2 linked regions of the Anolis sagrei genome follow. The protein of the gene in region 1 purifies or fractionates together with the protein of each later gene. This does not show direct contact. Links are inferred from orthologs where the notes say so. Each region holds a gene or a part of one and is shown in the gene's direction. Other genes may lie near its edges.

Region 1 (3,915 bases):
CTATCTATCTATCTGCTCTGTGCATAATGAGTACCTTAAAAACAAAAGAACCAATGAACGAAATCACACCAAATTTGGCAACAAAACATCAATATATATATATGTATGTATGTATATGTATATATATCAGGGGTCCTCAAACTAAGGCCCGGGGGCCAGATACGGCCCTCCAAGGTCATTTATCCGGTCCTCGCTCAGGGTCAACCCAACTCTGAAACGACTTGAAAGCACAGAACAACAAGAATGCTATCTCATCAGCTAAAAGCAGGCCCACACTTCCCACTGAAATACTAATAAGTTTATATTTGTTAAAATTGTTCTTCATTTTAATTATTGCATTGTTTTTAAGTGTTTTTTGCACTACCAATAAGATATGTGTGCATAAGAATTAATTCATGTTTTTTAAAATTATAATCTGGCCCTCCAACAGTTTGAGGAACTGTGACCCGGCCCTTTGTTTAAAAAGTTTGAGGACCCCTGATATATATGGAGCCCCCGGTGGCGCAGTGGGTTAACGTGCTGAGCTGCTGAGCTTGTTGATTGAAAGGTCGCAGGTTCGATTCCGGGGAGCGGCGTGAGCTTCCGCTGTCAGCCCTACCTTCTGCCAACCTAGCAGTTTGAAACATGCAAATGTGAGTAGATCAATAGGTACCGCTCCGGCGGGAAGGTAACGGTGCTCCATGCAGTCATGCCGGCCACGTGACCTTGGAGGTGTCTATGGACAACGCTGGCTCTTCGGCTTAGAAATGGAGATGAGCACCACACCCCAGAGTCAAACATGACTGGACTTAATGTCAGGGGACTACCTTTACCTTTGTATGTATATATATATATATATATATATATATATATATATGCTCTGTGAATCATAGAATCAAAGGGTTGGAAGAGACCTCATGGGCCATCCAGTCCAATAGATATATATATTTAGAAGTCCAGCATTGAAGAGAATGTCTTTCTTTACTTTTAAAAAACAGAAAACCTCCGCCTATGGAGGGGAAACAAAAAAACAAAACAGGCAGAAAGGGAAAGCCTGCAGCGAGAAGGACTCTCACCTTTGTACACCCCTTATAACGGCGCGGGAAGATGACGTTGGGCGGCTACCCGGAAGCTTCATCCGCGGAGCCTGCGCAACAGGGTAGGCCACGAGCCTTTCCGGCAGCCGCGCATGCGCCGAAAGGGGACTGACGGAAAGAGCCAGAGAGGGGAAAAAAGAGAACCGGGTCGCGTGGGGTCCCGGAAATCTCGCGAGAGTTTCGTCACGCAGCCTCACTTCCCTCCTTCCTGCCTTCCTCGCGCGACGGCTCTGGAGGTGACCGGCGGTGAGGGAAAGAGAGAGAGAGAGAAAGAGGCAGACGTGACGATGGAGCTCCCGCCGCTTCCCCCTCCCCCGGCCCCGGAGGAGAAGGGCAGCGGGGCTGAGCAGGAGGAGGAAGGGAAGCCCGCCTCCCCGGCCACCGCGGAGGGGCTGGCACGCGTCTGCGACCTCCGCGTCCAGGGAGAGGAGCCGCCTCAGCAGGAGCAGCCAAGCCCGCTGTCGCCTCTTCTCCCTCAGCCGCCGCCGAAGCGGACCTGGACTCGACGCCGACGGCAGCACCAGCAGCAGCAGCAAGACAGGCCTCCCGGAGTGGAAGGCGGCGGGGGCAACAGCAGTAGCAGCAGCAGCGAAAGCAGCGAGGAGGAGGAAGAGGAGGAGGAAGAAGAGGAGGAGGAGGACGACGAGGAAGACGAGGACGAGGACGACGAGGAGGAGGAGGAAGAGGACGAGGAAGAGGAGGAGGAAGAAGAGGAGGACGAGGAAGTGTCTGAGGTAATCCACTCTTCAGGGTTAGCTTCTTGCTTTCTGGAAGAGGAGCCTGGCCTGGTTACCTAACCTACGCACATCTCCATTGGCATGTAACAGAGTTTGGAAACTGCATTATATCACTTCACTTTGTTTCATAACTAGCTTGGGTACCTGGTGATGTCCAGGTTATTTTATTTATTTAGTTATTATTCAAACTTATATGTTGCCACTCCCCAGGAGCTCGGAGCGGTTAACAAGAATGGCTAAAATCTAACACAATTTATAACCAGCAATATCAAAAATCAAAGTCCTGTCGAAACAGGTATGTCTTACATGCCCTGCGGAAAGCTGATAAGTCCCGCAACAGGGGGACTTCAGGTGGCAGAGTATTCCAGAGTGATGGTGCCACTGTTGTAAAGGCTCTGCGTCTGGTTGCTGTTAGACGCAAGGTCTTGACACTGGGAATTTCCAACAAATCTTGGTCCTCAGAAGGGAGGGATCTCTGGGGTTTGTAGGGGGTGAGGCAGTCCCTCAGGTACATCGGCCCCAGACCATGCAAGGCCTTCAATTATTATTATTATTATTACTTTATTTGTACCCCGCTAGCATCTCCCAAGGGACTCGATGCGGCTTACATAGGCCGAGGCCTCAGAACACAATACAACAATACAATACATAAAGCAAATTAAAAACAGTTAAGCAGAGTAAACAATAACAGTAACAATACATCGAAACAATTATTAAAACTGGGCCGGCCAGAGTAGTGGGTACAGGATTAAAAGTGCTGATATTGCGGGAGGAATATAGGGTTATAAAATAAGTGCAGTGTGCGGTGTACAATGATCGTGGTTCTATTAAAGTGCATCTGGGACTTGGTATTGAGGTTCCTAATCTGAAAAGGCACATCGGAACAGCCAGGTTTTCAAGTTCTTCCTGAAGACTGCCAATGTAGGGGCCTGTCTAAGATCTTTTGGGAAGGCGTTCCAAAGTCGGGGGGGCACCACAGAAAAGGCCCTGTCTCGCGTCCCCACCAAGCGCGCTTGCGACGCGGGCGGGATCACGAGCAGGGCCTCTCCAGATGACCTAAGTGAGCGTGTGGGTTCGTAGATGGAGATGCGGTCACGCATGTCTTACATGCCCTGCGGAAAGCTGATATGTCCCGCAACAGGGGGACTTCAGGTGGCAGAGTATTCCAGAGTGATAGTGCCACTGCTGTAAAGGCTCTGTATCTGGTTGCTGTTAGATGCAAGGTCTTGACACTGGGAATTTCCAACATATCTTAGTCCTCAGAATGGAGGGATCTCTGGGGTTGGTAGGGGGTGAGGCGGTCCCTCAGATACATCGGCCCCAGACCATGCAAGGCCTTAAAGGTGAGTACCATCACTTTGAAAGCTGCTCAATTGGTAACCAATGCAGCTCTAGTAAGATTGGTGTTAGGTGGCATCTCATCGGAATTCCCACAAGAAGCCGAGCAGCTGCATTTTGTACCAACTTGAGCTTCCGGATCACCGTCAGAGGAAGGCCAATGTAGAAGACATTACAGTAGTCCAGTCTTGAGATGACCGTAGCCTGGATCACCGTAGCTAGGTCGTCCCTGGACAGGAAGGGGGCCAGCCGTTATTTGAGAAAGGCATTGTTTGTTTTGGGGTGTTAGGTAATACCATTTAGTAACACGATTTAGTAGGAAAAAAGCCAATTTTTGATATTGTCCCCTGTCCATCCTCTCCCAAAACTCCCCAGGATAAAAAGTATGCCATGGAGAATCTCTGTGGTAAGTTTGGTCCGTCATTCGTGGGGGTCTCAGTTGCCTCAGGATGTGGATGAAGGTACCGCAAATCCCATCATTTTATTTATTGGGTTGTTGTAGGTTTTTTCAGGCTATATGGCCATGGTCCAGAGGCATTCTCTCCTGACGTTTCGCCTGCATCTATGGCAAGCATCCTCAGAGGATGCTTGCCATAGATGCATGCGAAACGTCAGGAGAGAATGCCTCTGGACCATGGCCATACAGCCCAAAAAAACCTACAACAACCCAGTGATTCCGGCCATGAAAGCCTTCAACAATACATTTTATTTATTTATTTATAATTCAAACTTATATGCCCTCTACTCCCTCTCGGAGCGGCTTA
Region 2 (3,915 bases), about 20 Mb from region 1:
TCAATTCTAAATGCATGGCGGCAGTGAAACCGTGAGGACTTCCTTGTCATTAAAACTGAAACTTGTAAGAGATCAAATCGCAATCCAGTAGCATTTCATGACTCTTTAATCCTCCATAGAGAAAATTCGCATCGCTCATGGGGGGAGGGTTGTCATGTTGCCATGTGTTTTTGGGTAGAGAATCCTTCCTATGAGATTAAACCTTCTGTAATAGACGGGTGATAGATAGGTAGATTGGATTACAACTTCATTTGTCCAGATTTGCAACGACATCGACCTCAATTCAGACCATCAAAAACTGGGCTAAATTAGAGGCATATATTTACAACTTTCAAAGCTAGTCGTGAGGTATCGCCTTCCATAGATGCAGGCGAAACGTCAGGAGAGAATGCTTCCGGAAGATGGCCATTCAGCCCGGAAAACTCACAACAACCTAGTTTTGACGGTTCAGGATACTTTAGACGTCTCACAGAAAAGAAAGAAGCAGAACGAAGGCAAACACAACAGAGAAAGGGACAGGCCACTCAAGTCTACAGTTGGACCATTTGGAAAAGATTTCTCGAAGTATAAGAGAGTCTAGAAATAAAGTCGAAGTCAGGGGAAGGCAACATATTTGAGTTGCCTTATAGTGAAGGGAATTCTTCACCAGGGTGAACCGGTGACTTGGAAAGGAACTTGTGAAATAATCATGACCCTTTCATTCATTTTTGAAATACAAGGTATTCTACCGAATTCTGATTTCTGAGCCACTTCAATCAGTTCCGAGTTTCGAGACAAAAACAAACCCTTCCGCCCCAAACTCCCTCACGAGGGGCTCACCTTATATCGACCCATAGGGCCATATATATCATTTACTCGATGACCAATCGCTGTCGCCTTACCTATTGGGTTTCGATGCTGGGTGATCAATAAAGGAGAATTCTCGGCCGCCAGACCAGCCTTAGCTCTCCTTAACTCTAAACTGTCCAAAGCCCCGCCGCCAGCATAAAAAACGCAAGAGGGCACAGTTGTGGGAAGACAGATATACGGACTCTTCCTTCGAGCTCTGTCCTTCGATCCATTCCTCTTCCGGACTTCATAAAACGGTACGGGCCGGGGCGACCAAAGGGACACGCGTGGAAATGTAAACACGCTCCCCCCCCCCACGCGCGCCATTTCAACCCATTAGGTAAATTTAATGGAGAAAATCAGGTGGAATGAAAGGAGGGGAGCTTGGAAAAGGAATTCCCCTTCATCCTTCACTAGGAACAGGATTCAAGTTATTTTTAGGATACTCCGGATAGGTTAGACCTACTCCAAAAAAAATAAAAAAAATAAGGGGAAGGGGAGTTTTGAACTTTTCCTCCTCCAAAGATAGAGGCTTCCTCCTTCTTTTGCTACCGGTGTGAGTGTGTGTAGAGGTCCCCCTTACTTTCCAAACCCACCCTATAAACACGCTGAAATGGACCAAACTTTTTCCAAAGGAAAAGAGAGAGAGACCCCCTTTTCCCTCTCTCCTTTCGCCTCTCCACATTCGCAACCAGGCTCATCTCCTCCCTCGTTTGTGCTTCCACACTTCCCTTTTCCTCCTCTTCCTCCTCCTCTATTTATTTACTCCTCTTTTTGTTTTAAAAGGAAACTCCAAAACGATTCGTAGGGATGGATCTTATCTCTGAGAGAACGACTATATATGGCTCAAAGGGGGAGCATGGGTTTGAAGGTGTGGGTTTGTGTATATCTGAGGGTTGAGCTCGGATAGGTGGAAGGAGGGGGGGTGCGTTTGGGAGTGTTTCCCCCCTCCCCTCCTCTCTCTCTCTCTCTCTCTCTCTCTCGCTCTCTCTGTTGTTGGAAAGTGATGGTTGTTGGTGGCGGAGATGCTGTGGCTGGTTTGTTCTAGGGGGGTCCCCTGTGCAAAGCGAACCCCTCCAGGGTGCGATTTCGGCGTCTTCGGCTCCTGCGATTGGTCAGCGCCTGATCAGATGGTTTTCTTTCCTTATGTCCCTGGTTGGCACGCGGCCATCCCCCTTCAGCTAAAACCCAATCTCCCATATACTGCTAATAGCTAAACCGCTTGGACTATAAAACGCAACAAATCATAAAGACCCCGGGAAAGAGCAGGTTCTGCTCTTCTGCATTATTATTATTATCATTATTGTTGTTATTATTATTATTAATTTTCCAATGAGTTCTTATTTCGTCAACTCCACTTTCCCGGTGAGCTTAGCCGGGGGCCAGGAGCCCTTCCTGGGACAGCTGCCCTTGTATCCCACTGGGTACGCGGACCCTTTAAGGCACTACCCCGCCACCTATGGACCTGGGGCCGGCGGCGTCCCAGAGAAGGCTTACCCCGGCGCGCCTTACTACCAGCAAGCCAACGGAGGGGCGCCTTACAGCCGGAGCCCCGCCGCCTGCGATTACGGGACGCCCCCGGGCTTCTACCGGGAGAAAGAGACCTCCGCCTGCTCCCTCTCCAGTTTGGACGACCCGGCTCAGTTCGGGCAGGAGTCGGGCAGGAAGTCCGACTGCTCCCAAAGCAAACACGTCTTCGGGGACAGCGACGACCAGAAGTGCTCGACCCCCGTGTACCCCTGGATGCAGAGGATGAACTCCTGCAACAGTAAGTTTGCCCTTGACTCTGGACTTTTCGGGGACTCGTGACTTTCAGAGGGAGACAGGGTTGGGACACACACACAGAGAGAGACATCTTTGCACCCCATGCCTAAACAGGAAATGTCCTCCCCATCTCACTTCCCCTCCAAGTCTGGTTTGGAAGAGAAGGAAAACTTTCTCCAAACTTTTCTCCCACTTCAGATCATTCCCGTGTCATCTGTGCCTGTTTGTTTTGGTTTTTTTGAGGAAGGGGAGGCAAAGAAGGGGCAGGCTGTGTCCCCCCCTTTCACTTGGTTCGTTTCTTTCCCTAACTTTCTGCATCCAAACAAAGTCCGGAGACTCTTGATGGAGCGGAAAGGCTTGTTAGCTGTCACTCTCCAGGAGTGATTTACGTGGCCTGTCTGAGGTAGTTTTACACATCACGCACACACATGCAGGGGATGGGATCCGGGTTCTGCTGGAGTCCCCCTCCTGCGTTATTGTAACGAACCTGGTCCTCCTTTCCCCCTCCACCGCTTCCCTTTCCAGTCCCAAAGAGTGCAGGCTTTAATCCCAGCCGCTTGACTAATGTCAAAAGGTTTTAAATATTTGAAGGGAATGAGCTACATTTTTAATGAAACTCAGGCATAATGAAATGCCTGTCTGAAGAGGAGTTGCTCATAGTTTCTCTTTCACTCCCTGCCCCTCCCTCCTCCTCCTCCTCCCACGAATCCCGCACCTTCTTCTTCTTCTGCCATCGGCGGTTCCCTCCAGGTGCGTTTTATTTTCCATGGAAATTATTTTTTAGGAAAAGATCAAGACGTGCTAACAGCTCGTCCTTGTCCTCCTGTCCCTATGTATTATAATGTGCCGCCAGGCTCTAAAATTCCTGACCCAGGGGGTGGAGAGGGAGGAATGTGAGAGAGAATCGATACACTTCCATAAATTCTCCAATCTATTACAGTTGCTGATAAAGGAGGGAGGGGACGCACAGAAATAAAAGGCAGAGAAGGTGGGATACACAGTGCAGAACGTTTCCTGGGATAGAAAGGAAGAGGGCCAAAGAGGGCTGCCCAGAATGAGAGAGGGGTGAAGGCAGAGGAGAAATTGAGAACTTCCAACCTTCATTTTCCCCTCAGATACAAGAGTGGGCAAAGGGAGGGGGGCTTTCGGTTCCCTCCCAGGGCCAAACCCTGCCAGCTTTTCACTGCGACCCTAAAAACACATCAGCCAGGAAGCCAAGTCTCATTGATTTCTATGCGCCATTACATCCCACTAGCACTAACATCGAAGTGAGTCCTACTTGGACCAGCCGATCTCCAGTGGACTTTTCTCCCCAGTTAAGGT

What was found.
Region 2: the proteins of ANKRD17 (region 1) and HOXB6 purify together in Homo sapiens (co-immunoprecipitation; 3 studies listed by BioGRID and IntAct, with this or other methods). This does not show direct contact. The link is inferred for Anolis sagrei from reciprocal best matches to the Homo sapiens genes ANKRD17 and HOXB6.

The regions. Positions count from the first base shown.
Region 1 is NC_090026.1:53,232,538-53,236,452, forward strand, and holds the start of ANKRD17 (ankyrin repeat domain-containing protein 17), read left to right. Parts: upstream 1-1,153; 5' UTR 1,154-1,168; coding exon 1,169-1,810; intron 1,811-3,915.
Region 2 is NC_090026.1:33,152,425-33,156,339, forward strand, and holds the start of HOXB6 (homeobox protein Hox-B6), read left to right. Parts: upstream 1-1,152; 5' UTR 1,153-2,160; coding exon 2,161-2,596; intron 2,597-3,915. UniProt on the Homo sapiens protein: Sequence-specific transcription factor which is part of a developmental regulatory system that provides cells with specific positional identities on the anterior-posterior axis.